7 linked regions of the Ovis aries genome follow. The protein of the gene in region 2 binds, or shares a complex with, the protein of the main gene of each other region. Links are inferred from orthologs where the notes say so. Each region holds a gene or a part of one and is shown on either strand. Other genes may lie near its edges. The genes, in order: TMEM216, TMEM231, TMEM67, MKS1, CC2D2A, TMEM237 and B9D1.

The links.
Region 1: TMEM231 (region 2) and TMEM216 share a complex: the UniProt entries of both Homo sapiens proteins name them as parts of the tectonic-like complex. The link is inferred for Ovis aries from reciprocal best matches to the Homo sapiens genes TMEM231 and TMEM216.
Region 3: TMEM231 (region 2) and TMEM67 share a complex: the UniProt entries of both Homo sapiens proteins name them as parts of the tectonic-like complex. The link is inferred for Ovis aries from reciprocal best matches to the Homo sapiens genes TMEM231 and TMEM67.
Region 4: TMEM231 (region 2) and MKS1 share a complex: the UniProt entries of both Homo sapiens proteins name them as parts of the tectonic-like complex. The link is inferred for Ovis aries from reciprocal best matches to the Homo sapiens genes TMEM231 and MKS1.
Region 5: TMEM231 (region 2) and CC2D2A share a complex: the UniProt entries of both Homo sapiens proteins name them as parts of the tectonic-like complex. The link is inferred for Ovis aries from reciprocal best matches to the Homo sapiens genes TMEM231 and CC2D2A.
Region 6: TMEM231 (region 2) and TMEM237 share a complex: the UniProt entries of both Homo sapiens proteins name them as parts of the tectonic-like complex. The link is inferred for Ovis aries from reciprocal best matches to the Homo sapiens genes TMEM231 and TMEM237.
Region 7: TMEM231 (region 2) and B9D1 share a complex: the UniProt entries of both Homo sapiens proteins name them as parts of the tectonic-like complex. The link is inferred for Ovis aries from reciprocal best matches to the Homo sapiens genes TMEM231 and B9D1.

What each region holds. Positions count from the first base shown.
Region 1 is NC_056074.1:36,444,554-36,449,292, reverse strand, and holds the start of TMEM216 (transmembrane protein 216), read right to left. Parts: upstream 3,039-4,739; 5' UTR 3,011-3,038; coding exon 2,974-3,010; exon of another isoform or gene 2,960-2,973; intron 2,387-2,959; coding exon 2,285-2,386; intron 2,178-2,284; exon of another isoform or gene 2,159-2,177; intron 2,152-2,158; exon of another isoform or gene 1,990-2,151; intron 1,984-1,989; exon of another isoform or gene 1,848-1,983; intron 1,726-1,847; coding exon 1,633-1,725; intron 1-1,632. UniProt on the Homo sapiens protein: Part of the tectonic-like complex which is required for tissue-specific ciliogenesis and may regulate ciliary membrane composition.
Region 2 is NC_056067.1:2,328,995-2,332,467, forward strand, and holds part of TMEM231 (transmembrane protein 231), read right to left. Parts: intron 1,783-3,473; coding exon 1,701-1,782; intron 604-1,700; coding exon 498-603; intron 139-497; coding exon 1-138. UniProt on the Homo sapiens protein: Transmembrane component of the tectonic-like complex, a complex localized at the transition zone of primary cilia and acting as a barrier that prevents diffusion of transmembrane proteins between the cilia and plasma membranes.
Region 3 is NC_056062.1:83,418,849-83,423,445, reverse strand, and holds the start of TMEM67 (meckelin), read left to right. Parts: upstream 1-1,471; 5' UTR 1,472-1,486; coding exon 1,487-1,712; intron 1,713-1,917; exon of another isoform or gene 1,918-1,936; intron 1,937-3,378; coding exon 3,379-3,467; intron 3,468-4,597. UniProt on the Homo sapiens protein: Required for ciliary structure and function. Part of the tectonic-like complex which is required for tissue-specific ciliogenesis and may regulate ciliary membrane composition.
Region 4 is NC_056064.1:8,840,053-8,844,738, forward strand, and holds the start of MKS1 (tectonic-like complex member MKS1), read right to left. Parts: upstream 3,001-4,686; 5' UTR 2,979-3,000; coding exon 2,899-2,978; intron 2,398-2,898; coding exon 2,288-2,397; intron 1,066-2,287; coding exon 998-1,065; intron 560-997; coding exon 404-559; intron 1-403. UniProt on the Homo sapiens protein: Component of the tectonic-like complex, a complex localized at the transition zone of primary cilia and acting as a barrier that prevents diffusion of transmembrane proteins between the cilia and plasma membranes.
Region 5 is NC_056059.1:111,348,377-111,352,425, reverse strand, and holds part of CC2D2A (coiled-coil and C2 domain-containing protein 2A), read right to left. Parts: intron 2,248-4,049; coding exon 2,116-2,247; intron 1-2,115. UniProt on the Homo sapiens protein: Component of the tectonic-like complex, a complex localized at the transition zone of primary cilia and acting as a barrier that prevents diffusion of transmembrane proteins between the cilia and plasma membranes.
Region 6 is NC_056055.1:203,945,229-203,949,277, reverse strand, and holds part of TMEM237 (transmembrane protein 237), read left to right. Parts: intron 1-188; coding exon 189-312; intron 313-595; coding exon 596-787; intron 788-2,096; coding exon 2,097-2,170; intron 2,171-2,826; coding exon 2,827-2,920; intron 2,921-3,345; coding exon 3,346-3,467; intron 3,468-4,049. UniProt on the Homo sapiens protein: Component of the transition zone in primary cilia. Required for ciliogenesis.
Region 7 is NC_056064.1:33,859,916-33,864,542, forward strand, and holds the start of B9D1 (B9 domain-containing protein 1), read left to right. Parts: upstream 1-1,579; 5' UTR 1,580-1,599; coding exon 1,600-1,662; intron 1,663-3,012; coding exon 3,013-3,081; intron 3,082-3,830; coding exon 3,831-3,942; intron 3,943-4,627. UniProt on the Homo sapiens protein: Component of the tectonic-like complex, a complex localized at the transition zone of primary cilia and acting as a barrier that prevents diffusion of transmembrane proteins between the cilia and plasma membranes.

The sequences.
Region 1 (4,739 bases), on a different chromosome or scaffold from region 2:
GGATCTTTATTTGAGGAAAGATCTTTTTAATTATAAAAATAATATATAATCATTGAACACTTTGTCAATTAATATAGAAAATATGGACTTCCCTGGCAGTCCAGTGGTTGACTCTGTGCTTCCACTGCAGGGAGCATGGGTCCAATCCCTGGTTAGGGAACTAAGAACCCAGGTGCCCCATGGAATGGCCAAAAAAAAGAAAAATATATAGAAAATCATTTTAGAAAATACAGAAATTAAAAGACCTCATGATTCACCCTCTAGAGAAAGCCATTATTACAGAATGAGGCATACTGTTTCAGACATTTTTTATGTGTATAGTCACGTGTTATTATTTTCATTATTGTAAAAGTAGAATCATACTCTGCATACCGTTTGGCAACTTATTTAACCATTTAACATGGTTAGACGTCTTTCCACATTAACTACCTTTTACTCTATCGTAACTCTTTCCACACCTAACTACCTTTTTTAATGGCTATGAACAATTCATTGAACCAATATCATAATTTAACTAGTCCTGTATTGATAGGTGTTAGGTTGTTTCTAAGGTTTTGATGTCAAAAAATACATGGCAATACATCCTCATACAGATATACTTGTGTATCTGTAGAAGTGTGTTTTTTTCAGCCAGTTTTAGAAGGGAAATTGTTAATGTCTAAGAATATACATTTTACCTGGTAAAACCATTAGCAAAAAAGGTTATACTAATTTCTATTCCCAGGGGTGTGGGAATATAAATACTCACATGAGTGTGAGACCATACATACTGTTTCTTGCGGTTATTTGAATACGGGGCATTTGGGAATCTTTTTAATCCGATGGGTGAATATGTTACCGTGTTTTTCCAGTTTGCTTTTTGTTCGTGAGTTTGAGCATTTTATCATGGTTACTGGTCCTTTGTAATTATTCTTATGTGAACTGCCCATTAGGGTCGCTTGCTAATTTTTTTTTTTTTCGCTGTGCAGCATGCAGAATCTTAGTTCCCCAACCACAGATCAAACCCCTACCCCCTGAGTTGGAAGCTTGAAATCTTAACCACTGGACAGCCAGGGAATTCCCTCCCTTGCTCATTTTTAAAACTAGCTTTTTTCTTAGCATTTTATGTGAGCTTTCTTTATCCACTGTGATATGTACTTAAAGTATGTTTTTTTTCTTCAGTGTGTTTAAAGAACATTTTCAGGGATGACATATTCTAACTAAAAAGGGCTTGCTCTGTACTTCCAGGAATACAAAACTTGTCCTAGAGAAATCCTTGTTCAGAAAAATGAAGGGGATCTTAGTGCTGACCTGTGCAGGCATCTCCTGCCCCAGACATGGAGTTACAGCTGAATCTATTCTCCCAAGCAAACCAGTGAGAGGAACAAGGCACTCTTGTAACAGTTAGACAACTGGGAAGAAATTGTCTAATATCATGCCACTGCCCACTTCTGGCCCTGCCGGGCAACAGACAGATACATCTTGACCCAAAATATGAAGCAGCTTGAAACTTCAGAGAGGGAGTAATGGGATATACCACCAGATCCAATCTCTTGATTGGTGAGCCTAGGTTATGTACTTTTCCTTGTTGATCAGGTTACGGATACCAGCTCATCTCAGAAAGAATGGAAATATTCTTGGACAAACACTCACCAAAAAATAGTCGGATTATTTCAATTCCGAGATACAGGAAGAGCATCGCCACATCCAGGACTAGATTGGCTGTTGGGTACGGGAGCAGGAGACCTGCCAACACAGAAGTCAGAGCCTGAAAACAACACAGAGCAGTGCGCAGGAGAGCCCCACACGCGCGAGTCTCATCAGCTGTCCATGAGCTACTTAGTGAGGTGTGGGCAGCATCTGTTAACCTGATGCAGGATGTGTTAACTCCTTGTTGTGGCTGCATCTCTTTTAGAGGCAGGCATGTTGTTATCGGGTTTTACTCATAACTCGGACAGTCTATGAGGACTCCACCCTCCACCATTATCAGCTGTACATGGGTACACAGACCGCTGAATAGCTTCCGAGGCTCATCAACAGGCTGAAAGTGGAGTTCAGCAAGAGGTGATGGGGGAGAGTTGGAATGAAGAATCCCACATTTCCCAAACTCAACAAACTCTTGCCCAGGAGCTTCCTACTAAATCATTCTCAAGAAGTCAGCTGATGAAGAGACTTCTACCTTACAGTGAAGAGGTTCCCTAGAGGGCAGAAAAGAATGAAAAATAGGAAGGTTTTTGGTGGGAGTTGGCTCTGCCCTGAAGTGGGGAAGGGATGTGGGCAAGGGTAGTCAATCCCCAGGCCTTACCTTTATACAGAAATATGAAGAGTTCCAGCAGGAAATAGGTAGCATAATACCACCCATTCAGAAAGAAAAGAATTTCCAGCGGGGTGGAGGACAATCGTTTACCTGAAAATGTGAGCACAGAGAAAAAGAGATGGGCTGGAGGGCAGCTCAACCTCAGTTATTTCAATGGTTTTGTGTCTAACGAAGGAAAAGTGAGGTCGCAGCTAATGGAAAGGGCTACTTGGGGCACTTCTGATTGCTGATGAGGAGAGAGAAAAAGAGAGAGAGTGTGTGTGTAGGGTGTCTGTGTGTGTAGGGTTTCTCTCTGTGTGTAGAGTGTCCCCTAAACTTGACTCCGGGCTTCGGGCGCGAAAGTCAAAGCCCCTTTAAGATCTAACCTCGTCACTATTTGGGAAGGGAAAATGGGGTGCAGAGGCCAGCACTGGCTTGTTTGAAGTCACACTGCAAATTTGTAACTGAGCTGGCCTAGAACAGACCTGGCCAAGAATTTGAGGGAATCTAAGACCCGCACCTCGAGACCTTCAGGAACTCAGGGAGGGTGAAGCTGCTAGACCCTGCTTTGGACAAGCGAGAAGTGATGTCCATAACACCCGAGAATAGAGGGTTTATAAAAGTCGAGCAATGGGAGAGAAAGGAATGGAATATAGAAGCGATCAGGACCAGCGACTCACACACCTCCGTAATCTCACCTCGCGGCGCCATCTCCAGTCCCCATGGAAACTGCATACGCGGCTACCTCTACTTCTGGAGCAACGAGGCGTTGCCGGAAGCGGGGGACAGAGCGGCCCGAGACTCTGGCCTCTCTGCCCGCCCATCACACTCTATGGTTGCCTGGTGCGAAGGCCGTCTTGGTGCGTCCGCCGGTGCGCGCAAATGGCCTTCACTGGGGTTCTGTCTGGAGACCTTCGACAGCACAGGGGCCACCCCCCGAGCTGGAGTCCGTAGGCCCCTAGGGCTGGGAGCAGCTGTTGGGCTTCCCCACCCAAAGTTTACAATGAATCTGCAGAAGTAGCCAGTAGTGGTAATGTGACCACAGGATTGCCAAATAGGCTGTAGCGCCACGATTCTCTTCACTAACGGTCTGACAATACACGAAAAAAGAACAGTGAAAGTGTAGTCGCTCAGTCGTGTCCGACTCTTTGTGATCCTATCGACTGCATATAGCTGCCAAGCTCCTCAGTCCATGGGATTTTCCAGGCAAGAATACTGGAGTGGATTGCCATTTCCTTCTCCAGGGGATCTTCAGGACCCAGGGATCGAACTCAGACCTCCGGCATTGAGGGCAGGCTCTTTATCATCTGAGCCACGAGGGAATCCCAAACAACGGTCTGATAATGCACAAAAGTGCTCTGCAAATGCGGTTTGGCGTTTGGGGTCTTTTGTCTAGCAAGCAGTCTTTTCTGGGAGGGTAATAGGGGATTTAGTGCGTCCGATTTATCAAACAGGTACTTAGAAGACACCAGAATTAATCAGAACTAGAGGCTCCTTTGGCAACCCACTCCAGTATTCTTGCCTGGGAAATCTCATGGACAGAGGAGCCTGGCGGGCTAGACAACCCTGGGATTGCAGAGACTTCACTGAGCGACTGAGCAGGCAGGCAGAGGATCCTCTCGAGGAGCATAAAGAAGACCGGGAAGATGAAACATGATCACCACGTGACCCCTGACTTGCATGGGAGTTGGGAAGACAAAGTACTCTAGGTGGGAACTGAGAGAAGTTTTCAAGAGATGACTGGTGAACTGGGCTTTGAAACCTGATTATGGTTTGGAGCAGTTAGCATGTGTTACGGCCCACAGGGAAGCAGAAAGAAGAGTTTTGATTGGACTGAGGCTGACTTGACTGTCAGCCACTGTCAGGATAGGACAGAAAACATGGCACACTCAAACCAGGTAATTTGAGTAGAGTGACTCAAGTGTACAATTCAGTGGCATTAATTATATTCACAATGTTGGGTAACCATCACCACCATTTTCAAAGCTTTTTTCATCATGGCAATGAGAAACTCTGTAACCATTTAACAGTAACTCTTTTCTCCCCGTCCCTCTGCTGCTGCTGCTGCTAAGTCGCTTCAGTCATGTCCCACTCTGTGCGACCCCATAGACGGCAGCCCACCAGGCTCCCCCCCCCCCCCGCCCCGTTCCTGGGATTCTCCAGGCAAGAACACTGGAGTGGGTTGCCATTTCCTTCTCCAATGCATGAAAGTGAAAAGTGAAAGTGAAGTTGCTCAGTTGTGTACGACTCTTCGCGATCCCATGGACTGCAGCCTACCAGGCTCCTCCATCCATGGGATTTTCCAGGCAAGAGTACTAGAGTGCTAACCTTTGATCTACTTTTTATTTCTATGAATTTGCCTAGTCTATATATTTTAAGTAAGTGCAATCATACAATACTTTTTCTTTTGTGTCTGGCATAATTCCATTCAGCATGTTTTTAAGGTTCATTCATGTTATAGCTT
Region 2 (3,473 bases):
GTTACAGGGATTGTGGTCACCACCTGATTTTGGAACACAAATCTTTTGATTCTTTCAAACGCCCACAGGAAGATAAGTAGGATACTGACATACTGGATCCAGGCAAACTTTATCATTTCCCAGAATCCTGGTAGATAAGTACAAACAGTTAAGGAGTCACAGATGACATTTTCTACATACATGTTACACCAAAGGGTTAGTTTATACAGAAAATCACAAAAAATGTTTCAAATACCCTTAAGATAAAAGAGACAATCAAAGATTATTAAGATATAAATATGTATGATTCTGACCTAGAAGAATTGCTCAAAAGGACAGGAAATGAATATTTTTTTCCCGTATGAACTGCAGACAGACAGAGTCGTTTGTGGGGGACTACCACTGCAGCAATTTCCAGTCTGAGGCTTCCCACATCTGTTCCCTCTTGAGACATCTGAGGAATCCCTCTTTTCTTTTTTGAAACCAAGCTACTGTTGGCCCCTTAACAGAAAGGATATGAAATGACTTCCACAGGGTATCGGATGACTGCATTAACCACAAATGGAGCTTCTGCAGCCCTTCCCACCAGCCAGATGGGGCTGGGGTCAGTCAGGATGGTGGTTACTGCAAAACAATGAGGAGTTAATCCGTGAATGCTCTCTTTGGCAATAAAATACTGAGGGCTGTAACATACTCTGACCTCTCAGGCCAACTCTGCATTTCAGAACACATTCCAAAGAAATAATTCAAAAGGAAAGAGAAATTGAATGTTCAAAGCTGCTCACATAGTATTTGTTAAAACACTGGTCAAAGGATGTTAAAAACAGCTTGTGTTCTACAACTGTCTAAACAAATGAATGGCTAAGCAAAGGAATACTATGCTACCTCTAAAAAGAAAACCAATGAAAACTTTCTAGCGGTGTGGGGGAAATATTAAATTACAAAGTACAGAAGACAAAAACTGTTTCTAAACTGTGACAGGAGCTGTATAAAAACTCTGCATATGGACAATAACTGGAAGGAATTAAGGAAGAAAAGCTGATTTACAGATAAATGTTTCTAAGTCGTGTTCTAAAATTCCTTTATTTTTGGAAACCAGAAAGAAAATACTGGAATTGCGGTCCCGACTCATTAAATGTCTGTGTATCGTATCTATGTCTGGTTGCCAGGCAATGCTTTAGATTCCTTTAGAGGAAACCTCAGACCACCAAGCAGCCAGATATGCTGAGTCAAGCGCACACTCAGGGACGATCTGGCGGTCTTGCCTCTTGGAGGCCCTGGGCACGTCTGCCTTTCAGCCAGAATCGTGGGTACCTTTTCCTCCTTTAGCTGCTGACACGCGGTGAGTCACTCAGGCTCCGTTTCCATATGAACACTATGGAGAGCAGCCTGTCTTCGGCTTTTCTTACAGGTGTGGTGTGGGAAGCAACTCGCCTATCTTTACACATAAACCCACCCAACCAGTGGTGGGACAAATACAGCAGTGAACTGGCACTAACCTGCGGGACCAGAGGAGCAGTGCAGGGGATAGTTAGGGGGTAGGTCTCTGGGTCAGGAGGAAAAGAACAACTTCTGAGCAGCCTGTTCACCTTCCACAGCGGAGCATTCACTGGTCTCGACATTTTGATATGACAAGGGCTCTAATTCTGTTTCTCTCCAATACCCTCATTAACCTGCAAAGTCCTTGAGAAGCAGATGCATGAGCTGTCCACACAACTCACCGTTCCTTTCCTGATAGGCAGCCACAATGCGGGTGAGGTCGTAGTCACTGGCAAACGGACTGGTCCCGTTGATGACAGACACCTGGGCGCGCGGGAGGGCGTGGTGTGAGCACACAAGCGGCTTGCGCTCTTGGTTTTTCTACCCCCCTCCCACCCAGGCTGATCTCAGAGACCACCCTCTTGCGCTTGGGGGCCTACTCCAGCATCGATAATATTTTCTTCAAAAATGAATGAACTCTTTTGAAACAGTTTACATCATTTACTTTCAGTCTTTCTTTCTGGAGGGAAGAAAACAAGGGGTCAATATCCATCTTTCACAGGTTTTAAAGCGACTTATATAATTCCCCTCTCTATTCCAATGGGACAAATGAGTCTTCTCATTTTTTCTAAGAGACTACATTCTCAACCCCTTTGTCTTTTTTCTTGCTTTTGTCTGGATGCTCCCTAACTGATCCCTTTGAAATGCAGAAATGGAAAGATAAAGTGCACATAGTAATAAGCACATAATCCTTTGAAGACAAGAAAGAGCTGTTCTCTAGCATCACATTCCTGACATAATCTAACATGGGCTTCCCTCGTAGCTCAATGGTAAAGAATCCGTCTGCAATGTGCGCAGACCTGGGTTTGATCCCTGGATCGGGAAGATCCCCTGGAGGAGGGAATGGCAACCCACTCCAGTTATTCTTGCCTGGAGATTCCCCATGGACAGAGGAGCCTGGTGGGCTACAGTCCATGGGGTCGGAAAGAGTGGACAAGACTGAGCGACTAAGCACAGCACAGCATATTAAATTTATATTTTATAGTCCCTCCTGTTAAAAAAAAATAGTATGTTGATAATGGTTATGGTTATGGTGACCATGAATCCCAGTTTATCTGGGACAGTCCTGGTTATAATAACTGATAACATTTCCTATTAACTTTCAAAAGTAGCCTAAATTATATGGGCCTCCTTGTGATAACATAAAGGTTTGTGATGAGGGATGGGATGCATGAGTCCTGGTCTCAGACCGTTCATGGCTCTGCGGGCTTTGGGAAAATTAATCAATCCCTGTAGCCTCCAGGTTCCTCATGTGTGAAATGAGAGTTCATTCTCTCATCAATTCTGAGTGCTTACTATGGGCAGGCACTGTTTTAAGCACTGGAGCGAGAGAACACAGAAGATAGCAGGGCTTTCACCACTGAAAGTGAAAGTCGTGTCTGACTCTTTGGATCCCATGGACTATACAGTCCATGGAATTCTCCAGGCCAGAGTACTAGAGTGGGTAGCCATTCCCTTCTCCGTGAGATCTTCCCAACCCAAGGATCGAACCCAGGTCTCCTGCATTGCAGGCGGATTCTTTACAGCTGAGCCACAAGGGAAGCCCCTTTACCAATGAGGGAGACGGCAAATGAACAAACTGGAAACCTCCCTTTCATATTTCAGGTGAAGGTAAGCAGAGTAAACCTGGGTGAGCGATGATGGAGGGTCAGGTGGATGGTCTTTAGAAGGCGTGTCGAGCAAGGACTGTGCTCAGGAGCTTTGACCAGGGGCCAGACGGAGCAGTAGGGTGAGCGATGTGGGTACTTGGTAGAGGAAAAGGTAAGCGCAAAAGCCCTGAGGCAGGAGCTGCTTCGTAGGTTTGAGGAACAGCAAAATGGACCCCGGGGCTGGAAAGGAGCAAGGGGGACAGTGACAGGACAAGCCGCTGGAGAGCGGAGAACGGCAACAGAAGGCGTCTCATGAGGCTGCTGCGATGACTGGATGAGACGATGTAGTTAAACCTCTTAACTCGG
Region 3 (4,597 bases), on a different chromosome or scaffold from region 2:
TGTGTATTCTCCTTAATAGTAATAAAGTCATTTCAAGGTATACTGATGAATAAGGTGGTTTCAAAATATGCCAGTTTTATTGGGGAGGAAGGACAAAATAAAACAATAAAACAAATAGAATACAACAAAAGCAGAAATGAAATTTAAATATTAAGAAACAATTTTTTCTTTTATGACCCAGAAACTGGCTTTGAAGGTAATTCTAAAATGTTTTGGGCCCAACAGCCTCTAAGAGTGCCCATTTTGAAAGACAGCAATCATGCATGTGTATATTTGACTTAAACAATAGATTCCTTCTTTATTTACAACTGGACTAAAGATCTCATTTTATGAACATGATTTCTATGCTCAAAACAAAGAACATAGAAACACACAAAAAAGGTCTGTCAGGAAAGATCTTTTTTCAGTGAAGTGAAAGTCACTCACTCGTGTCCCACTCTTTGCAATCCCATGGAGTGTAGCCCACCAGGCTCCTCCATCCACGGGATTTTCCGGGCAAGAGTACTGGAGCGGGTTTCATTTCCTTCTACAGGGGATCTTCCTGATCCAGGGATTGAACCCTGGTCTCCTGCATTGCACGCAGATTCTTTACCAAGCCACCAGGGAAGCCCTCTTTTTCAGTGCTTGAGCCAATCGTCCAACATTACATATTTCAAATCTGTGGTTTTTTCCCCTACTTTTTGGACAAGTGTATCTTGACAAATACATTATTGGGTGTGTCCTTTAACATGAAAATGACCATAAGTTTTATTGTAAATATCATTTAACGACTTAATGAAACAATACTTTTAATTTGTGTGATAAAATCAGATATTTTCTTGGCTGCGGTTACCTATTTCGCGACTTCTGAAATTGATTTCCCGTCCCGGAAACGGGTCGCTTCATAGAATCTGAAGTCTGGTCGTGCCTGCCAGGCTACAGGGTTAGCTTGCCTCTAACTGATGCTTTTGAATTGCGGTGTTGGAGAAGACTCTTGAGAGCCCCTTGGACTGCAAGGAGATCCAACCAGTCCATCCTAAAGGAAATCAGTCCTGAATATTCAATGGAAGGGCTGATGCTGAAGCAGAAGCTCCAGTACTTTGGCCACCAGATGTGAAGAACTGACTCACTGGAAAAAACCCTGATGCTGGGAATGATTGAAGGCGGGAGAAGGGGACGACAGAGGATGAGATGGTTGGATAGCATCACCGACTCAATGGACATGAGTTTGGGTAAACTCCGGGAGTTGGTGATGGACAGGGAGGCCTGGCGTGCTGCAGTCCATGGGATCGCAAAGAGTCGGACACGACTGAGCGACAGAACTAAACTGAACCGAACCCGTCCTTTCCCAGATCTTCAGATTCCCGCAGCTTTTGGTAACCTAGCAACCAGGAGAAGCAGGCCGACATTTCCGGAACACCGGGGCGCCGCGATCCAATCAGCTCTGCAGAGTCGCCGCGGAGGCTGACGGGCCGCGGGAGACGGCCTGGCCGCCGGCGTCTGCACCATGGCGACGGGAGGCCGCGGGCGTGTAGTGGCGATGGCCGCTCGGTCCACTCTGTCGGCTGAGAGTGTGACTCTGTTCCTCTTGCTGGTCCTCCCTCGCGTCTCACAAGCTCAGACCTTCTTTTTCCCTTTCCGGCAGCCAGAGACGTGCGGCCACAACCAGTACTTCGATATCTCGGCGCTCTCCTGTGTGGCGTGTGGCGCCAATCAGAGGCAGGATGCCCGAGGTGAGACGGCTCGGGACGGGCCCTGGCCAAATGAGCAGCCCCGCCTTGATGCTGTGCCCAGATCCCGGCCCCGCCTTGATGCTGTGCCCAGATCCCGGCGTTGCTGAAACATCTTTTTTTTTTTTCTTTTTTCCTGCGGAAAGAATGTTTCAGAAAGGTTAACTGCCAACGCCTGAAAGGAGGGTCTTCTTGAAGGATTGAGGCTTTAACGCACAACGGAGGAGGTTGGGGAAACCTTGAGTCGGCTACCCGCTAGGCCTCGTAATGAATTTCTTGGCTCCAGTCATTCAATCAGCGGGCCCTTAGGGAGGCCCCTGGAAAGCTGACTACCTAAGAAAGCGAAAAGGAGAAGTAATCTTTGGGGTCGCAGAGAGTCGGACAACCAGGACTGTCTGAGGTGCTAAGAGCAGGTGACAGGACCTGTTTGGGAAGGAATGCAAATAAGCGCTCGTAAACTTTGGTAGTTTTGTTTTTGTTTTGTTTTGTTTTGTTTTTAATCTCAAATCTAGAAATGTAGAGCTGGAAGGGACCTTAACCATTTATGGTCCAGCCTTCTCAATTTATGGATTAAAAAATGGAAGTCCAGATGAGGTCGTCACGTCTTCTTTGTCCTGTAAATTGGAGACAGGAAGAACTCCTGTATCTCTTTGCCCTCTGCCCTCTGTATTTCCACTATACAAAATGTCCATAATAGTATAGATTTCCTTAGTACTTAGCCCTTTCATTGTTGAATATTACTAATTCCCTCCAAAGTATCTTTATATTAATTTTTTTTTCTTGAGATGTTCATCATTCATCCTAGTTGTCCTTTGAAACTGCTCAGGATAAGACGTTCCCCGTATTCTAAAGTCTAGGATGTTTTTAATCTCAGTTTGGTCACCCATGGTATTAACTTTCTGCCATCTTGAAATTTGGTTTGTCTTTAAGTCATTGTGTAGGACAAGTCAGGCTTCTCAGGTGAGGAAGTAAGAAGAAAGCATTTCCCAGACTCATTCTATAAAATGTAAGGTTCATAGTCATGCACCCTGTTATCATAAGCATTCTACTACATGGATTCCTATTAAGTATCCACTTAATGCCTTCTTAGAGAATGCTGTCCTTACCTAGCCAGCAAATTGAATAGTGATTATCTTATAAAGTTTACTTTAATCTTTCCAAACAGAGGAAAACAGTGATTTATCTTGGTAACTTTCCTAATAAGATTTTGTTTTGACAGAATTTGAATTCAGTGAGTATATGTGTATGGTTGGGTGAAATAGACATGTAAAATCTCCCATAGCGATTAGTCAGTAGTTTGGTTATTAGTTTAATATTTATAATTTAATAATTTATTTATGCTTGCACTTAAAATTATAGCAAACACAATACCTAGTGTATGCCAGACACATTGTAAGATATAAATATAACACCTTAATATGCTAATAATATGACTAATTTAGTACTTATATTAACCCCACAAGGTACGTACTGTTCCTAATTGGAAGCCAAGGCACAGAACAGTTCCTTGCTCAGGGTCACAAAACTAAGCAGCAGAATCAAGGTCAGAACCCAGGCAGTACTGGCTCCACTGTCTTGCTCTTAGCTCCTGCTTCTCAAGATCTTAAGAGTTATTAAAATTTTCCTATCTTGGAATTTTATCAAGGTCAAAATTGGCTCTTCTTTTTAGGAACTTCATGTGTGTGTTCACCAGGATTTCAGATGATTTCTAATAATGGAGGACGTGATATTACTTGTAAAAAGTGCCCAGAACACATGGTATGGAGTATTTATTTTTTAAAAAAATCTTACTGTAAAAAATAGCAAATATCATTTTTTAAACTGTAATTTAATGCTGTACTCTAATATTTTCCCACAGACTTTAAAATTATTAAGCCAGCTTTGTTTTTACTAGAGTAAATTTTGGGAGATCGGTGAAATTTTGCATACTTGGAGAAAAATAAAAAGGTATTTTTAAAATCTGAAATTAAAAAAAAAAGCCATATTTTGTTTATTTCTATTTCATAGAGAAACTACTTTATAAAGGAAAATAGATGAATGAATGATATATAGCGTGAGTTCAGTGTCTTAGACTTACTGTGTCAACAGTTTTACATAATGATTCATGTTCATAATGATACCTGAGTGATAAGTTCATCAAATGCCAATTTCATCACTAAATAAATAATACCTGATGCTGTTTTATTAATCATTTCATTATATCATAATTTTTGGAAAATTAATGTATTGATAGTTACTATATATGATGATTCTTGATTAACAGAAATGTATCTTCAATCATTTTGAATAATAAAGAGTCTTAGTGTGGCAATTCTAACTTTCATAGTAATATTTCTTCTCATTTTTTTTCAAAATGCAATATTACCTCTTCTCATTATTGTATTTTAAAAAAATTTAATCTGGGAATTTAATATTTACCATTTGTCCTGGTTTATGACTAGTACTTATAGGTTTGATGATCATTTTCATACTTGAAGTTTTAGGAAATATTGACCCTAGCTGAATTATGATGAGCAAAAGGTACTAATATGAAATGGTGCCAAAGTAGACTAATTTTTCAGTGATGTTACTAAGCTTGGGGGGCTTCACTGATGGCTCAAGTGGTAAAGAACTCACCTACAATACAGGAGACACCGGAGATGCAGGTTCTATCCCTGGGTTGGGAGGATCCCCTGGAGTAAGAAATGGAAACCCTCTCCAGTATTCTTGCCTGGAAAATCCCATGGATGGAGGGATGGGAGAATCAGATATGACAAAGCACACACACACACACAACTAAGCTATCATAATTTTTAAATAGTCCTATATGTATATATGTATTAACAAATACAGGGGCATTTCTTGATAAATCCATTCTTTTCAACCAAAACTTACCATAATTTGTGTCA
Region 4 (4,686 bases), on a different chromosome or scaffold from region 2:
CTTCAAATGTGTATGTTCAGTTTTGGCTGAATCCCATGATGAATTCAATCTAGATGGTTCTAGATGCCATCCACCTGTCTGATCTCATGATGCATGGGGGAAATCAAACCTAGTGGCTGCTCCCCGCAATGTGCAGTCTGCAAGCCTAGCATTAGAGACACTGCTGGCTCCCCAGTCCCTCCAGCAGATCGGGCAGGGAGCAGCAGCCACATCACCCACAGGCTGTGCCCACCTACCTACTCCAGCCTGGCTGCCAGAAACACACGGGAATTCCTAGACAGGCTCACTTAACATGCTTCTGAGTTAAAACACGAGGCCAGAAAGCCAGGGGAAACCAAGGTGAAGGGAGCTACAGAGCATGGCTAAGTCTACCTGAGTCTGTCTACTTGGGAAAGAATGGTACCTCCTCCAAATTGGTGTATCTATCAGAGTCAGTGTAGGTAAAGATCCGTCGGTTCTTCCTGCCACCTGAATCTTCCAGCTTCAGAATCTCTTGATGGTACTGATGATCCAAAGGGCTCTGACAGGCGGCTTCATTTTGGTACAGATCTACTTCAAACTGAGGTCACAAAGAAACAGAGTTCCACTGAGAGTATTTTAATTTTGTCACTACAACTGTTTGGTCAAATACCATTTGTCATGATGTTTTATCTAAACTGATGGAGGACAGAAAGGCCAACGAAGGTTAGAGCTACAAGGAACCAGAGCGACAGTCTAACTCAATTCTGCTGTTATAGAACTGACATACCAAGACAGTGATTCTGCTGTTTCGGTATGCGGCCCAGAGGTAAAAAGCATGTTACTCAAGATCATAAAACTGGCTAGTGGCAGGCACTGCATTACACTGATCCCGTACACACAGCAGTGGGAAGCATACACTGTTGTAACCTTTCTGGAAGTCAGTTTGGTGATATGTATCAGGAACCTTTCCCTGCGACCAGGCAGGTGGACGTGGGCAGGGTGCAGGGAGATGGAGCAGACAGGGACACTAGCCCACCTGACTGAAGAGCTTCTCTTGCCACCCAATCACAGCCTCCTCTTCTTCTTCCTCTGGGCGGTGTCCACCTCCAAAGAAAACAGAGTGAGTCAAATGTTTGAGCCCAACTAGCACCACTTCTTGCTCTCTGGTTGGTTATAACCAAAGTCTGTGCTCTTATATTTGCCACAAAACCAGTTGGAGTTCACTGATTATGATGTACTCACTCTAGAGAGGCAGTAGATATGTGCAGAAGCCAAGGTTAAGACCCATGAAGTTTTAATCACCCCTCTAACTTTAATAAAAGAAATCACGTCCTCCAGGAATTATTTAATCTAATTCAGAGTCAAGAGCTGAAATTTAGATATAGGCTAAACAGCTCTTTCTCAATCCCAATTGTCTACATTTGCTATGAACCATGGCATTTTTATCTTCAATATTTCTGAAGCCATAAATCTAGAATCACAAACACTGTAACCTTAAGAGGCCAAGTATTAAGAGAGAAAAGGAAAGACATATAACAGATTTCTTTTTAAGAACCAAATCCAGTATGTACACTCCTAGATGAGTATGCCTTTTCCAAAGATATATGCTTCAAAACCCACCAGCTCACACTTTTACCCAGAAATATTTCTGAACAGAAACAACAAAAGCAAAGAGACTAGTGACCTAACACAAACACACTGTCTTCTCTTTCTTAGTTTTCTGGCTTCTCAGAGAAAGAAAAAGGCTAGAACACAGATAATACTAATATGTACATTTTCTGGGACTTCCCTGGTAGTCCCATGGTTGCTTTGCAGGGAGGATGGGTTCCATCGCTACAGGGAAAATTAAGATTCCACATGCCACACAGCAAGGTTAAAAAAAAAAAGTGCATTTACCATGCAGACCCAAATGTTTAACTTGTTTATAAAAAGTGTTTATATTCTAAGTTTCAAGTTTGGAGTGCTATTTTCTCAGAAAAAAGAAAAAAAAAAAGTCAGAAATGGCATTTGGGTTTAGAGGTAAATTTATAATATACCCAAAGCACGGTATTTGCTATTTCACTACATTTAACCACAGTTCAGATCAGCTTCTTGATGATAGGAATCATTTCTTGAATTCAATTTTCACACAACATAATGTAGTAGTTAAAACTGCCTGGGATCAAATTCTGATTTCAACAGTTAGTAGCCCGGTGACCTTGGACAAGAAACCCAACCTCTCTATACCTCAGACTATAGACCTGGGTCTACTCTGTCTTAAGAAGTAACCTCCGCCCTAGGCCCTTCCCCAGATCCCCAAGGGGCCGCATCACCACCATACACCCACTGGCCGTTGGGTGAGGCCTAAAAGTGGCCAAGTCTATGAGATCCTTCCCCAGCTGGGCAGCAGGCTGGCAATGGAGGTAGTTGCTTGATGTGATTCTTTGCAGGTGGACTCTGCCAGGAAAAGAGAGGCCCAAAATACTGTTACAAGATACACAAGCAGGAGACACAGCAAGGATGGGGAACAAAACACTGAAGAGATTATGGCTACCAGGAGATGTGGCCGGATGCAGGCAACAGAGGGGAGGGCAGGGGGCATGGGGCCCCAGGGAGGAGAGGATGCGAGAGTGTATTGCAGGGAGACAGGGCTCTGAGGAATTTGGGGGGCGGAGAATCCCAGGGACAGGGGAGCCTGGTGGGCTGCCGTCTATGGGGTCGCACAGAGTCGGACACGACTGAAGCGACTTAGCAGCAGCAGCAACAGGGTCCTGAAAGGGTGAGTCTAGGAAGTTGCGAGTGAAGAGGGTTCCAGGTAGTGAGGGAAACGCGAGGAGACCGGGGTGACAGCGGTCGGTACTGCAAAAGGAAATGAGGGCCCCAGCAAAGGAGAAGTGTAATTCAGGCTCCAATCATCTGAGAGCATGAAAGCACGGGGCTCTGGGGTGATGCGACTACCGGAGGCGGAGGTTGCGCACGGGGTCCCGGGATCGGTACACGGCCTCTCCGGTGTCACTGCTCCAGATGGCCTCCGCCATGACAGCTGCGCCGCGCACGACTGCGCCGGAAAGCGCACCGCCCCGGTTCCCCTGGCAACTGAGACGCCGTCCGGAACCTGGAACCCGGTTCCCTAGGCGGCGCGGCAGAAGCCCCGCCCATCGCGGCTGGGGTGGTCCTGCGGGGTTGCCACTGGTCTTTAGTGCGAACAAAGCTCGCTCACACCCAAGGCCGGGGTGGATGCGCTTGACGAATGAGGAAACTAAAGCAGCGCTGTCGGCCCCCATTATGTAGATTCGGACAGAAATGGTCGTGGGCCCCAAATCCGAGTGTCCTGAGTTCTCAGCGACTACTTTTCCCACCACATCGCAGTCTTACACTGAATCCTGGGACACTTTGGCCTCAGAATCGGTTAACGGGGACTCACAGGATGCACCCATTCTTCCCAGAGGAGTGACGGGAGGTGAAGACAGTTACCCAGACGTGAAAGTATTTTCTTGGAAGCAAACAAAAACGTCAGAAGATTTATTAATCCTTGCGTTGGCATTCACTGAACCAGAGAAAAAAGAAACAAGGAAGCTAGCAGTAAGGAAGGAAAAGATGTCATTATTGCACTGGTTTTTCCCCTGCATGTGTTATTTCCCCATTTTTAAGCCACCTTAGATACCGCACTGACCTTGAGAAAGTCAATAAAACGCCATCCTGAAGACGTTCTGCATTGGGCTGCCAAAGGCGGAACACACCTGTAACCTCGAGTCCGGCTCTCTGGCACCTTGGGGATGGCAACAGTTATCAGCCTTTGTCATTTGCTGCTTCTTGTCCCCTGAACCCAATTTGATTATATGGCATTGGGAGCCATCAGCAACAAAGCTGCTCTTGTATAACGCTAAAGACTCACTATAACAATAGCCCTATTTATGTAAGATCTAATAGGGCTCCTTGTTTATATTGTCCCTAATCCTCCTAGAAATCCCTTAAGTAGGTATTTGTTATTCTCATAGCCAATGAAGTTATTGAAGGCCAGAACTTAAAGGTTGAACTGGAGTAAGTGGTAGAGGAGCTGAGACTCCAGCCCAGGCCTGTCTTTTGAAGCATGAACACCTTCCACCTTTCTTCACAATGCCTCACCTACCAATTTATTCTGTAAGAGCACACAATTCCCAACCTGGGAAATGGTAATAATTATTTCAACAGGTGAAACCATGAAGGCAGAATATCAGTTCTTAAGAAAAAAAATAAATCTAATTTTTTCTTTTAAAATTGTGAATAGGCAACATTTTGCCATATGAACCACCAATGATAAAGTTGGAGCCTGAACCAACTTTCATTTTACACCAAATCTAACTTAGAGCAAAGTCAACCTGACATAATTATAAGCAAAGTACTGTATCACATGACATCCAAATATAGGTGATTTGTCTAAGAACCATAATTAAATTGTTTTTATACAGGTAAACTATATTTTTATTCCTTTTATTTACTGATAGAAATCAGGATTCTTAAAACTGGGGTCCATGAGCAGAGTTCAAGGAAGGGGTCTATTGATTCCCTTACCCAGCAGGGAGAGGGAAGGGAGAGTGGCAAGATAGGGGTATGAGATTAGGAGTTACAAACTACTATGTATAAAATAAATAAGAAAGAGATATGTTTTATAACACAGGGAAATATAGCTATGGTTTTACACCTTAAACTGACGATCTAAATTGACTGTGCTATGCTTAGTCACACAGTCGTGTCTGACTCTTTGCA
Region 5 (4,049 bases), on a different chromosome or scaffold from region 2:
ATTTGTGCTTCATTATATCAATGTTTCATGCTGAAGCAGATGGATGGATGGAGAAAGAAACTGATGGATTATTAGGTACAAGTTGATACTGTCTAGATCACTAATTATATCATGTATCTTTGTCATAAAGCAAGTAGATGGTAAATCCCTCAGGCCTGGGGCTTGGGTTTATGCTTGCTTTGTAAATCCACTCCTAGGGTCCACATTTCTGTACAGAGTAGCCACTCATTAATATTTGTCTGTGATAACAATATTTTATAGAAATTCACAATTTAATAAAAGGGCAAACACATATATCATTTCAAAGCTCATAATGGCCATATGAGGTAGAGATTATGGTGATTTTTTAATTAAGGAAACATCTTCACAGCAGTCAAGGGAGATGCCCAAAGCCACAGCTTAGTAGACACCCAGCTCAGATTCTCTGATTTGGGTCCATGTCTTCTCTGTTCGTCACCTATAGCTCTACAGTTCTATAGCTTTATAGGATGATCTTGTATCCTCTTATTCTGTTTGCCTTTAGCAGTGTCAAAATGTTACACATTTCAAATTACACAAGTTTCTGAAGGAGGTGATCCTTGCTACATTTCAGGAGAGCATGAGCAATATAATTCAACATGAAGGAAGGAAATAAAAACAAACAAGGGAAAATAAGACAGGTCTTTCTTAATACACAAGAATTTAAGGAATAAGTACATCTGGATTGTGTGTGGGGGTGTGAGTTGCTAAGCTGTGTCTGACTCTTTGCAACACCATGGACTGTAGCCAGCCTGGCTCCTCTGTCCGTGGAATTCTTCAGGCCAGAATACTGGAGTGGGTTGCCATTTCCTTCTCCAAGGAAGCTTTCTGACCCAGGGATTGAACCCAGGTCTCTTGCATTGCAGGCAGATTCTCTAATGTCTGAGCCACCTGGGAAGCCCAAGTACATATGGATATATCTTAGGAAAACAAGGAAACAACAACAGAAGCTCCAAGACACAGAAACAAAATATTTGTCAGCTAAAAAATTTAGAAAAACAAAATCCTTGAGGAACAGAAAGATTGTAAAAAAGCATAAATTGCATCATTAAACTCATATAAATACAAAACTAAAGCTAAAGAATGTTGGAAATTGTGGTCCTGGACAAGATGTATAAGTTGTAAGTTTTGATAATAATATTGTAATGATAATACAGCAAACAAAAACCATGATATGATGTTTAAGGGACATGGATTGAAAGCTTAGAAGTGATTTCATAGTAAAAAGTCATTTTATGTTGACCCAAATTGGAAACATTAAAAAAGCAATTATTCTGATCTCTAGTGTCACTATGTGTTCATAGATTTATCTGAATTTTTAGTAAGAATGTATCTGATATTAAAGAAATATGTAACCAAAGCCTAGCAATTCTTTTAATTTTAATATAGCTTCTTTCCCCCAGAATATATTTATTTGATACTTTTTTTAAAAGATAGTTAATAAATATAATCATTTATTGTTGGGGGGTGGGGGGGAAATGAAGGCAAGCAACTGCCTATTCAACACCAGCCGGTCAGACCTCACTGAGCCTGTTCTATGTACTTTGATGTATTATCTCAACCATCTGCACAACAATCCTAGTAAGCCGATGCCATTTTGCAAAGGAAGAAACACCAGCAGAGAGAGGAGAGGGAGGTCAAGTGAGCCAAGCAAGAGGCAGGGCCAGGACTCAAGCCAGGCAGTGTGGTAAAAGAGCTGGGAAAAATACCATAGAAAGGATTTGTGAGGATAGAAAATCTCCAGTGATATAATACAGAGACAGTGGGGGAAATAACCCTGCAGTATATGTGAGATGACAGAGAGAAAAGAGAAAATATTGGGGCAGCTAACCTGGACATGGGCATAAAGACACTGACCCAAGCCTTCCTACCTGGGAAGCTTGTTGCTGATGTAAGAAAGGGTTTAAGAAAGGATTCGGTGTGGGCAGGAGGCTCAGTCTTATATAACAGGCTTGCCGTTTCCTTTTTATGTGCAAGACAGTGAATTAGTTAAGAAAAGTCAGAATAGGATGTTGCAAATTCATCACTCCAATCCCTTCAAAAAGCAAAGCACTTTCAAGTAAATTCATGTATTAAAAATGGGAGGGGGAGGTTTACCTTTTTATACAGGGTTTCCAGTTCTGGCTTAATGTCCTGCGCCTGTGTAAACATGGGTGGTCGCGAAGGAACCGGCTTGATGGGGTTTGGCAGTGCCAGGATCCTCCCGTCATCTCCAAACCATCTCCTCCCCTAGGATCAAGCAGAAGGACAGAAAATAGTTTACAAAAATAAACAGCGCTTGTGGGGAAACTCTCTGTCACCATGTATTATGTCATGCACCTTCCCCTGTCCTGTAGATCTTTTATTTTTTAAAAAATTATTTAGTTTAAATTAAAGATAGTTGCTTTACAATAGTGTTTTGGTTTCCGCCACACATCAACATGAGTTTGCCATAGGTATACATGTGTCCCCTCCCTCTTGAACTTCTCTCCCACCTCCCACTCCCTAGACATTTTAAAGTCCCGATTTCTATCAGAAATTGAGTCTTCACTAAGCCAGACACAGAAAGACCAATATCATATGATATTGCTTATATGTGGAATCTAAAACACAGGGTACAAATGAACTTACTACAAAACAGAAATATATAGTCGTGGCTGTAGAAAATAAACTTATGGTTTCCAGGGGATACATACTACTATATATAAAATAAATAACTAACAGGGCTACTGTATAGCATGGGCTTCCCTCATAGCTCAGCTGGTGAAGAAAGTGGAAGTGGAAGTCCCTCAGTCGTGTCTGACTCTTTTCGACCCCGTGGACTGTAGCACCAGGCTCCTCCATCCATGGTATTTCCCAGGCAAGAATACTGGAGTGGCTTGCCATTTCCTTCTCCAGGGGATCTTCCTCACCCAGGGATCGAACCCAGGTCTCCTGCATTGGAGGCAGAGGCTTTAACCTCTGAGCCACCAGCTGGCTCAGATTCCTGGGTCGGGAAGATCCCCTGGAGAAGGAAATGGCAACCCACTCCAGTATTCTTGCCTGGAGAATCCCATGGACAGAGGAGCCAGGTGGGCTACAGTCCATGGGGTCACAAGAGTTAGACATGCCTTAGTGACTAAACCACCGCCACCATATAGCATAGGGAACGCTACTCAGTACTCTGCAATGGCCTATATGGGAAAAGAATTTAAAAAAAAAAAATAGAGTGCCTATATGTATATCCACCTGAAACTAACACAATTGTAAATCGATTGTATTCCAATAAAAGTTTAAAATTTGAGTCTTCGCTAATGCCCCCCAGAATTAAGATATAGTTTTCAGCCCCCTCCTGATAAGTTTAAGAAAAAGCTAAAGGAGTGCCTGGGCTTCCCTGGGGCTCAGCTGGTAAAGAATCTGCCTGCAATGCGGGAGACCTGTGTTCAATCCCTGGGTTGGGAAGATCCCCTGGAGAAGGGAAAGGCTACCTACTCCAGTATTCTGGCCTGGAGAATTTCACGGACTACAGTCCATGGGTCACAAAGAGTCAGACACAACTGAGCGACTTTCACTTTCACTTTCAAAGGAGTGCTTAAAAAAACGTATTTCCTATTAAACAATTTTTTAAATTTTATTTTTAAGTTTTTTGGCTGCACTGGTATCTCTGTTGCTATGCAGGGGCTCTCTCTAGTTGGGGTGAGCAGGGGCTACTCTGTAGCTGCAGTGCTGGGCCTTCTAATTGCGGCAGCTTCCTTGTTGCAGAGCACAGGGTCTAGGCACACAGACTCAGTAGCAGTGGCTCCCAGGCTCTAGAGCGTGGGCTCAGTAGTTGCAGTGTGCTGGCTTCGTTGCCCTGTGGCATGTGGGATCTTCGTGGACCAGGGATTGAATCTGTGTCCCTGCATTTGCGGCGGGTTCTTAACCACTGGACCACCAGGGAAATGATATTCGTGAAAATTTCAAGACAGACGACCATGGACAAAAACAGTTGAGAACATTCTATCTTGGGACAATTAAAAATTTCTGTGAATTGGGAAAAGGTTTGCCAATATGTGATTTAGTAGGAAGAGCCT
Region 6 (4,049 bases), on a different chromosome or scaffold from region 2:
ACATTGTATGTTTTTAGCAACTGACAGAAAAGAGACTTCTGAAGTAGGAGCCGAATCAGGGAGAATTTTTAGACAAGAAAACAGTAAAATTTCAGTCTCAACATGAGGGTTCTTAAATGTGGAATAACAAGAAAGATCCTCAGAGTTCTCTGTTGTGAGTTGTTTTTAATTGTGTGTTGTGTTCTTAGGGCGATTCCAGGCTGCTGATCGTTCAGAGTTGATTAAGACCACAGAAAAGATTGATGTGTCAATGGACATGAAACCTTCCTGGACGACCAGAGATGTTGCACTGTCGGTGCATCGGGCTTTCCGGTGACTGATTTTGTTGGACTTTTCTAAAGACAAATGTTCCACAATTTTTTAAGTATTGATTGTTCAATACTGTTAAAAAATTGACAGCTTAAAATGGTGGGTGCATATATTTTTCAAACATTCAATTAGAGTTAAATGATCTGCCTATTAGTATAGAGAAAAGAAAAGCTTGTTTTTACCTTTTGTGAAATGTTGAACTTTGTTCTTACACATGAATAGATTCAAAGAATGCACTTTTTGCTTTAGTCTTTGGTGTATGTTAACAAAACCGTTTTCCATTCAGGATGATTGGTGTCTTCTCCCATGGCTTCCTGGCTGGCTGTGCTGTGTGGAACATTGTTGTGATCTATGTTCTGGCAGGAGATGAGCTTTCTGACCTCTCAAACCTTCTGCAACAATACAAGACATTAGCATATCCATTCCAGAGTCTTCTCTACTTGCTTTTGGCTCTGAGTACAGTTTCAGCCTTTGACAGGTAAGACTGTTGTGACCGTAGGCTCCTCTAACTTTCTTCAGAGGGAAGTGTTGAGCAAAATGTGTCCCTGAAAAACTATGACATTTTCAAAATAGAATTACAGGATATTAATATTATTTTGACTTTTTAAAGAGCCATTCTGTTTCTGTTCTTTTTGAGGGGAGGAGATGGGACTATTGTGAGCAAAAACATACCCCAGAGTCTTAACCCATTCAGCATCAACTCTAAATCCAAAATTTCATCCAAATATAATCAACTCAAAAAGTCCCAAACATACACATTGCTGTATCTATAACCAAAAGGGACCTATTGTATAGACCATGGGACTCTGCACAGTGTTATGTGGCAGCCTGGATGGGAGGGGGGTTTAGGGAAGAATGGATACATGTATATATATGGCTGGGTCCCTTCTCTATTCACCTGAAACCATCACAACGTTGTTAATTGGCTATACTGCAATACAAAATAAAAACTTAATTTTAAAAAAAGACCCAAATATCTTCCAGTGCACTGAATCAGGTATAGTCAAGACTCTGGGTACCCCAGTTTCCTAGGGCTGCTGTAACAAAAGTACCACAAACTGGGTGGCTTGAAACAATAGGAATGTGTTCTCTCACAGTTTTGGAATCTGAAAGTCTAAAACCGAGGTGTTGGCAAGGTTGGTTCCATTTTAGAGGGATCCATGGAGAGTCTATTCCTGCCTGTCCCTTAGCTTCCAGTGGTTTCTGGCAGTCCTTGCTGTCCCTTGGCTTGTAGACGCGTTACTCCAGCCTCTCCCTCCGTTATCAGATGACAGTCTTACTTGTGTGTCCACGGATCTGTGTCTCTTCTTGTAAAGACACCAGTCTTCCTGGATTAGGGCCCCTTGTAATGGCCTCATCTTAAGTTGACTACATCAGTAAAGATTCTGTTTCCAAAGAGGGTCACATTCACAGGTTCCAGGGTTTAGAAGTTCAATATGTCTTTCTAGGAACACAATTTAACCCACTAAGAAAACAACAGCTTATCACTCAATAGTATGAGTAATAAAGGGAAGTAGAATCTAATAAAATGGCTGATCACGTTTGTTTCTTCTTAATGCTAAAGGAATGATAACTAAAATAGTCTTTAGTTAAATGTTTTATGTGGCCTTTGTAGATAAGATTTTTTCATGTGTGTTAAGTATAAACTGTAGCTACTTAAAGCTTCATAATAATGTGGTAGCATTAAAATAGAGAAGAAAGAAACTGTTGTCTAGAGACTACAGTTCTGTACAGTTTTGTAAGAAGTTTACAACTACACTGTGACAAGAGGCTTTTGTATTTTCTAGGATTGACTTTGCTAAAACGTCAGTAGCAATCCGAAATTTTCTTGCTCTGGATCCAAGAGCTTTAGCATCTTTCTGTAAGTAAATAATTTGATAACTGTGTAAATTTGAATCAGAAAAAAAGTATAATTTTATTTAAAAAATGATTTTATATTATTGCTACCTAAAACAATTCACATCAATATTCAGTGGAATTTGTAATTAAACTATGGTAGGTATAATTTTGATAGAATTATTTTTTAGTGGAGGTTTAGAATTATTTTTCAGTGGAGGTTTAGAATTATTTTTCAGTAGAGGTTATCTAACTTTTTAAAGTTTATTGTTCTGTATTACTTTTGTGTTTTCTACTTGACAGTAAACAAATAGGGCTGATAGGGCATTTTAGTAACAAATACTTTTTTTTTTACCTTTTTGGTAATTTGGTGTAAATTTTGTTCTAATTATGAGAATATTAATAAAACTAATTTTAGAACCTTGAATCATTTAATTTCTTAAGTGATCTTCTAGATTCTTGTCAGTCTAATGATAAAATAGTGAGTATCTAAAGCCCCTTCTCTACCTGTATTGAAAAATAATGTAAGACTATCCAGCCTATTGAAATTGACCAAATGAAAATTTTTTATGTCATCATTTCCCAAAGCTCAGATTATTTTGACCTTAAAGTTATTTATAAATTCCAAACAAACTGGGTTGTTAAAAATACATTATTAGTAATTCATTTGTCTTTTCTCAGTGTACTTTACTGCTCTTATATTATCTCTGAGTCAACAAATGACAAGTGACAGAATCCACCTTTACACACCTTCTTCTGTTAACGGTAGCCTCTGGTAAGAATTCATAGTAGCACTAGTAATTGTTGATCGTAATAATAGCAACAGTGGGCGGAATGGTGCTATTCTTGTCTTTTCACTCCTTTACTTGTTTTCACCTATAAATAGTAATGAGGGCCTTGTTTTTGTTTCTAAAATTGTGGCCAAAAAAGCCCCCTATTCCTTTGGTTAATGGATAACTATTGTTATATACTCTTGCATTTTTAATGAAAATGTTTTGTAAACAATGCTTTAAATCTTTTTAAGTTATGGTTTTAAAATTCTCATGATATATATAGTGTATTTCATAGGGAAGTTATATTTTATGCTTGTTATTCCTCTAGATAAGGATGGCTAATTTTTTTTTAAGTTTATAAAATAGATATATCTGGATATTTGGATCACAATGAAGACGTTTCTGATGAGTATTTCTTTACCTCTAGGGCAGAAGGAATTGAGGAGCAGGTTCTTCAGCCATGGATTGTGGTGAACCTGGTGGTGGCCATTCTGGTTGGGTTATCTTGGCTTTTTTTGTCTTACAGGCCAGGAATGGATCTTAGTGAAGGTATTAAAGAAAAAAATAGTATAAATACATCATAAAATCTTCTATAATGACTTCATAAATCTTCTTTTAATGGATATAGCATTATGTCATTTATACTTTATAGTATTATAACATTTCAATAACAAAGATGCATTTAAAGTAACCCAAGAAGTATAACAATAAAGTGGTGAAACTGAATGCTGCAAAAAACAGGAGTGTGTAGGGGAGCTGGCGTCTTGGAGCACTTAATGAGGGTTTGCGCATATTTTGGAGATATTTCTCTTCTTGGACCCTTTCAGGTATTGTATAGAAAGTCTTTGCTCTTCCTTTCTCTTAGTCTCTTTCTGATCAAAGTATCTCTTGCTACTCAGTCGCTAAGTCGTGTCCGACCCTTTGAGAAACTATAGACTATAGCCCTCCAGTCTCCTCTGTCCATGGGCTTTTCCCAGCAAGAGTACTGGAGTGGGTTGCCATCTCCTCCTCCAGGGCATCTTCCCGACCCAGGGATTGAACCTGCAGTTCCTGCAGTGCTTCCTGCATTGCAGGCAGATTCTTTACCGCTGAGCCTCTGGGGAAGCCCATAAATTTGAAATAAATGATATG
Region 7 (4,627 bases), on a different chromosome or scaffold from region 2:
AAGGGAAGCAGCAGCAAAGGTCCCAAGCTGATGGAGTCCTCGCTCATCTCTGTACCTATACCTCTGACTGAGTCCCAGTCACCTTGCTCTGAATCTCCTTCCTCTTTTGCGCAACGCCTGTTGTTCAGTTGCTCAGTCGTGTCGGGCTCTTTGTGACCCCATGGACTGCAGCATGCCAGGCCTCCCTGTGCATCACCAATTCTTGGAGCTTGCTCAAACTCATGTCCATTGTGCCACTGATGCCATCCAACCATCTCATCCTGTTTTGTCCCCTTCTTCTCCCGCCTTCAGTCTTTCTCAGCATCAGGGTCTTTTTCAATGAGTCAGTTCTTCACATCAGGTGGTCAAAGTATCAGAGTTTCAGCTTCAGCATCATTCCTTCCAGGAATATTCAGGACTGATTTCCTTTAGGATGGACTAGTTGGATCTCTTTGTTGTCCGAGGCACTCTCAAGAGTCTTTTCCAACACCATACTTCAAAAGCATCAATTCTTTAGCACTCAGCCTTCTTTATGATCCAACTCTCACATCCTCCATACATGACTACTGGAAAAACCATAGCTTTGATAATGAGCAACGGAGACGTATTCACACTCCAGTACTCTTGCCTGGAAAATCCCATGGACGGGGTAGCCTGGTAGGCTGCAGTCCATGGGGTCGCTACCAGTCAGACACGATTGAGCGACTTCACTTTCACTTTTCACTTTCATGCATTGGAGAAGGAAATGGCAACCCACTCCAGTGTTCTTGCCTGGAGAATCCCAGGGACGGGGGAGCCTGATGGGCTGCCGTCTATGGGGTCGCACAGAGTCGGACACGACTGAAGCGACTTAGCAGAGTTGGCAGCTAGTACAGCAGACGTACTCAATTATCCATCCACTCCACTAGCTGCCACCAGTGCTCAGGCAACCGGGACACGGGGGTGGCCCAGACCCGGTGTTCGTGGCGTAGGGCTCAGGGGAGAGGCGGCACTGGCTGGAGCTATCACAGTAATCGATGTGCAAAAGCGAACAGTGGGGAGCGCTGAGAGCAGGCGGACGGCCGAGCCCCGCGGGCTCGCCCCTCCCCGCCGGCAAGGTGCCGGGGCGGCCACTCAGAGGCCCGTTTTCCCGCGTCACGCGGAGACCTGCAGTCTTGGGCTTAAGGACCTTCCAGGTCCCTTCTCGGTTGGTCTAATAAACTTTTGGGAGGCGAGGGTCTCAAAGGCACGAGGGAGCATCTGTAGACCCGAGGCAGGGAGCTGCTGGCCCCACGGGGACTCTCGGAAGCGCGGCCGGACCCCGCCCCTTGGCGGCCTCGGGCTCCAGTCACACACTCCAACCGGCAGCGCGGTGGTCAGAGCGGACACACATTCCCGGGCGGTGGCCTAGGTCCCGCACCACCAGCTACATTCACGCGGGGTTCCTCGGGCGGACCGCCCCTCAGACGGACCAGGCGGCTGAGGCCCGCCTCCCACCGCACAGCGCCGCTCCGACTGCGCTTGCGCGCCGCGCCTTGTGCGCGTTTTCCCGAAGCTCCCGCTTCCATGAAACTTGTCCCGTGCGCCACGCCGTCGTCTCCAGGGCAACCCGGCGCCTCCTAGTAACCGCGCGGCCCGGCTATGGCGGCCGCGGGCCCCAGCGTGTTCCTGCTCATGGTCAACGGGCAGGTGGAGAGCGCCCAGGTGAGCGGCCGTGAGTCCTCCAGGGTCGAACCTCGGGGGAGGGAGCTAGCGTGACAGGCTTGGCGAGAGATCGCGCGGACCCTCCGCCACGAAGTGCGGTGGGGAAAAAGGCCTGGAGCGTTGAGCCAGGCCGAGGCCACAGTTGGCCGAGCCCACGTGAAGATTCGGGCAGGGGCCTCCATCCACCCCGCGACCCTCAGCTCCTCCCTCCGGCGCGGGTTGGTCTGACACAGCGATGGTGGCAGCTGTCCTGACCCGGAGGCTGTGTCTGTCCGACGGAAGGGGACAGTGCTTTCCAGTCCCCTGCATGTCCTAAGAACCGTTTGTTACTACTGGAAGACATGACATATGACAGTCTTCATGCCCAGCCCCGCTCAGCCAGTCCTCACAACAACCATTTGAAGTAGGTATTACTTGCACCCCCATTTTACAGATGGGAAGTTGCCCAAAGGAAGTGGCAAAACGAATTTCAAACCTTGTCTGATGTCAAAGCTTTGCTGGACTTGCCTTTCCAGGCTGTTTTAAAAATATTATGATTATATTGTGAGTACTAACCAAGGTGGTCTAGGTAAAGCTCCGTGGGATCTCTTAGCGGGCATCTCCCGCCTTCCTGTTTCATCAGGGTCACTGCCCCATGCCCCCACCCTGTCCACCTCCCCTTGGCCTGGTGCCTAAGGCCAGCCTCTCCTGTTCTGCTTTATCCCAGCAGGGGCCTCAGCTGGGCTGGGTCAGTGTGCCTGTGTTCTCAGCAGCCCCTCATCCCCACTCTTCCTCCCCTCTGCTCGAGGCCACTCTGCAGGCCATTGGCTCCCACCAAGCTTTGTGTCCTGGGAGCACCTGTCTTCTAGACCTTTCACTTCAGCATCACTCCTTAGTGCCCACCCTGTGCCAGGTGCTAGGGACACAGAAAGCCCACATACCTGTCCCTTGTTCACAGTCTAATGGAGCTGAGAGAATAAACATGGTCAGTGCTGTGATGGAGCACCAGGGGCTGTGGAAGCTGGGATGTGGCTCCAACAACCTGGAAGTCGGCAGGCTCCCCAAAGTGTCAGTTTTGAAGGGTGAGCAGGAGTACTCCCAGTGAAGGCATTCCTTCACTTCTCATTAGAAGGGCACGTCATACAGATGTCAGAGCCTGAGCAAAAGCCTGGGGGCAGCACTGTCCCTGGACTATCCCACATCTTGAGACCAGACCTTCCAATGAACTCCGTATCCATGCACCCTGCTCTCTCAGCCCCCGCCCCCTAGGTGCCTCATGTTCAGAGTTGCTGGTGGCTGTACCTGCCTAGCTAACAGGTGGTCACAGCATGAGTCCCTGTGAGCAGAAGCTGTGTGTGCTTATTTCCACAGTTTCCTGAGTACGACGACCTCTACTGCAAGTACTGTTTCGTGTATGGCCAGGACTGGGCCCCCACAGCGGTAAGCTGGACCCTACAGCCTCCCAGACTCACAGCTTTTGTGACTGAAGGGGTTTCTGAAGGCTCCATTGCACCCTTTCCCCTCCCAATTCAGAACCAGTTAAGAGTTCAGGGGTGGCACACACGTGAGTTTGTTCCCAGTGAGGCCGGAGCAGAGAATGCAGAGATCCCTGATCCACCCCTAAGACTGTGGTCGCTCCTGGGCCCTGCCCTGCAGCGAACAAAGCCAGACCAGCCCAGCTCTGCTGGGGCCACTTGCCTGAGAGGGAGACAGACTCACGCTCCAGGCTGTTGGCTAGTAGCGGTGCTGAGGGGAAAGTGAAGGCAGGAAGGGGAGGGATGAAGAGGCCAGAAAAGGCCTCCTTAAGACAGTTTAAAAAAAAAAAAAAAAAGATGGTAACTGAGCGTAGAGCTGAAGGAAGCAGGGGGATGGGCCAAGTAGAAGGCTGTAGAATAAACTAGCCAGGCAGAAAGACAGGGGAGAGGGCAACAGCCTGCTGGACCATACCCTATTCCGCAGGAGGTGCAGGTGGAGCTTGGGCACCGGGAGAGGGGAGGGGCCTCAAGGTTTCAGGTCCTAATGGATAGAAACCCTCAAAGACCTGGGAGCCACTCTGTCACATCTTAGGTCCCTTTGTTTGGCAGAAGATGGTGATGAAAACAGCTCTCAGCTGCCACCTCAGAGGTAGGGTGGGTGGGCATGGCAGCCTGGAGCTGGGACACTGGCCGTCACTGTCATTGTCCTTGCAGGGGCTGGAGGAGGGCATCTCACAGATCACCTCCAAGAGCCAAGATGCGAGGCGGGCGCTGGTGTGGAACTTCCCCATCGATGTCACCTTTAAGAGCACCAACCCTTACGGCTGTGAGTCTGCAGGCCTCGTCCTGCCCATCCATGGGGCCCTCTACCAGCCTTGTCAGGTGCTATCAGACACCTGGCTGTTTTCCCCTCCTTCCCACTGTGTGCACTTGACCTTTCCGAGGTTCTGAGGAAGTCGGTGAAGCCCAGCGTGAAACCTTGGGCAGTGACTGCCTGCGAAGGTCAGAGCCTGGTGTCTGGGGCTCAGCAGTCTGGCCCCTCAACAGCTCTCCCCCGTCCATCACCACTGTGCTCCCGCCAGTCCCGACCCCCCTGCTCCTCCTCCAACACCCTGCCCTGAGCCAGGGGTAGGCCCTTCTCTCTGCCATGGGCACCGAGCCCTCATCCTACCTCTGATCTCCCAAAGTTCTCCTTGCCAATATCTGCAGGGTTTGTTGTCCACTGTACCTGGTCGTCTGTGATCACTCTCACTTAATGAATGTTAGCTGCGTGCAGAGCCTAGCTTGCTCCACAGAGTTGTGCGTGCTTTCCACGCGTGGGCTTGGCTGAGCTGTGAGATACTATCGAGAAGGCAGGCTTCTCTCCACCTTTTCTCCTGTTTAGGAAACCAAGACTCAAAACAGTGGCATCATTTGCCTCAGCTTCACCTTGAGTAGCTGAGCACGGATCTGATTTCATAGTGCAGGCCTTCATGCTGCATGCAGCTGGCGCCCAGGCTTAGCAGGTGTGG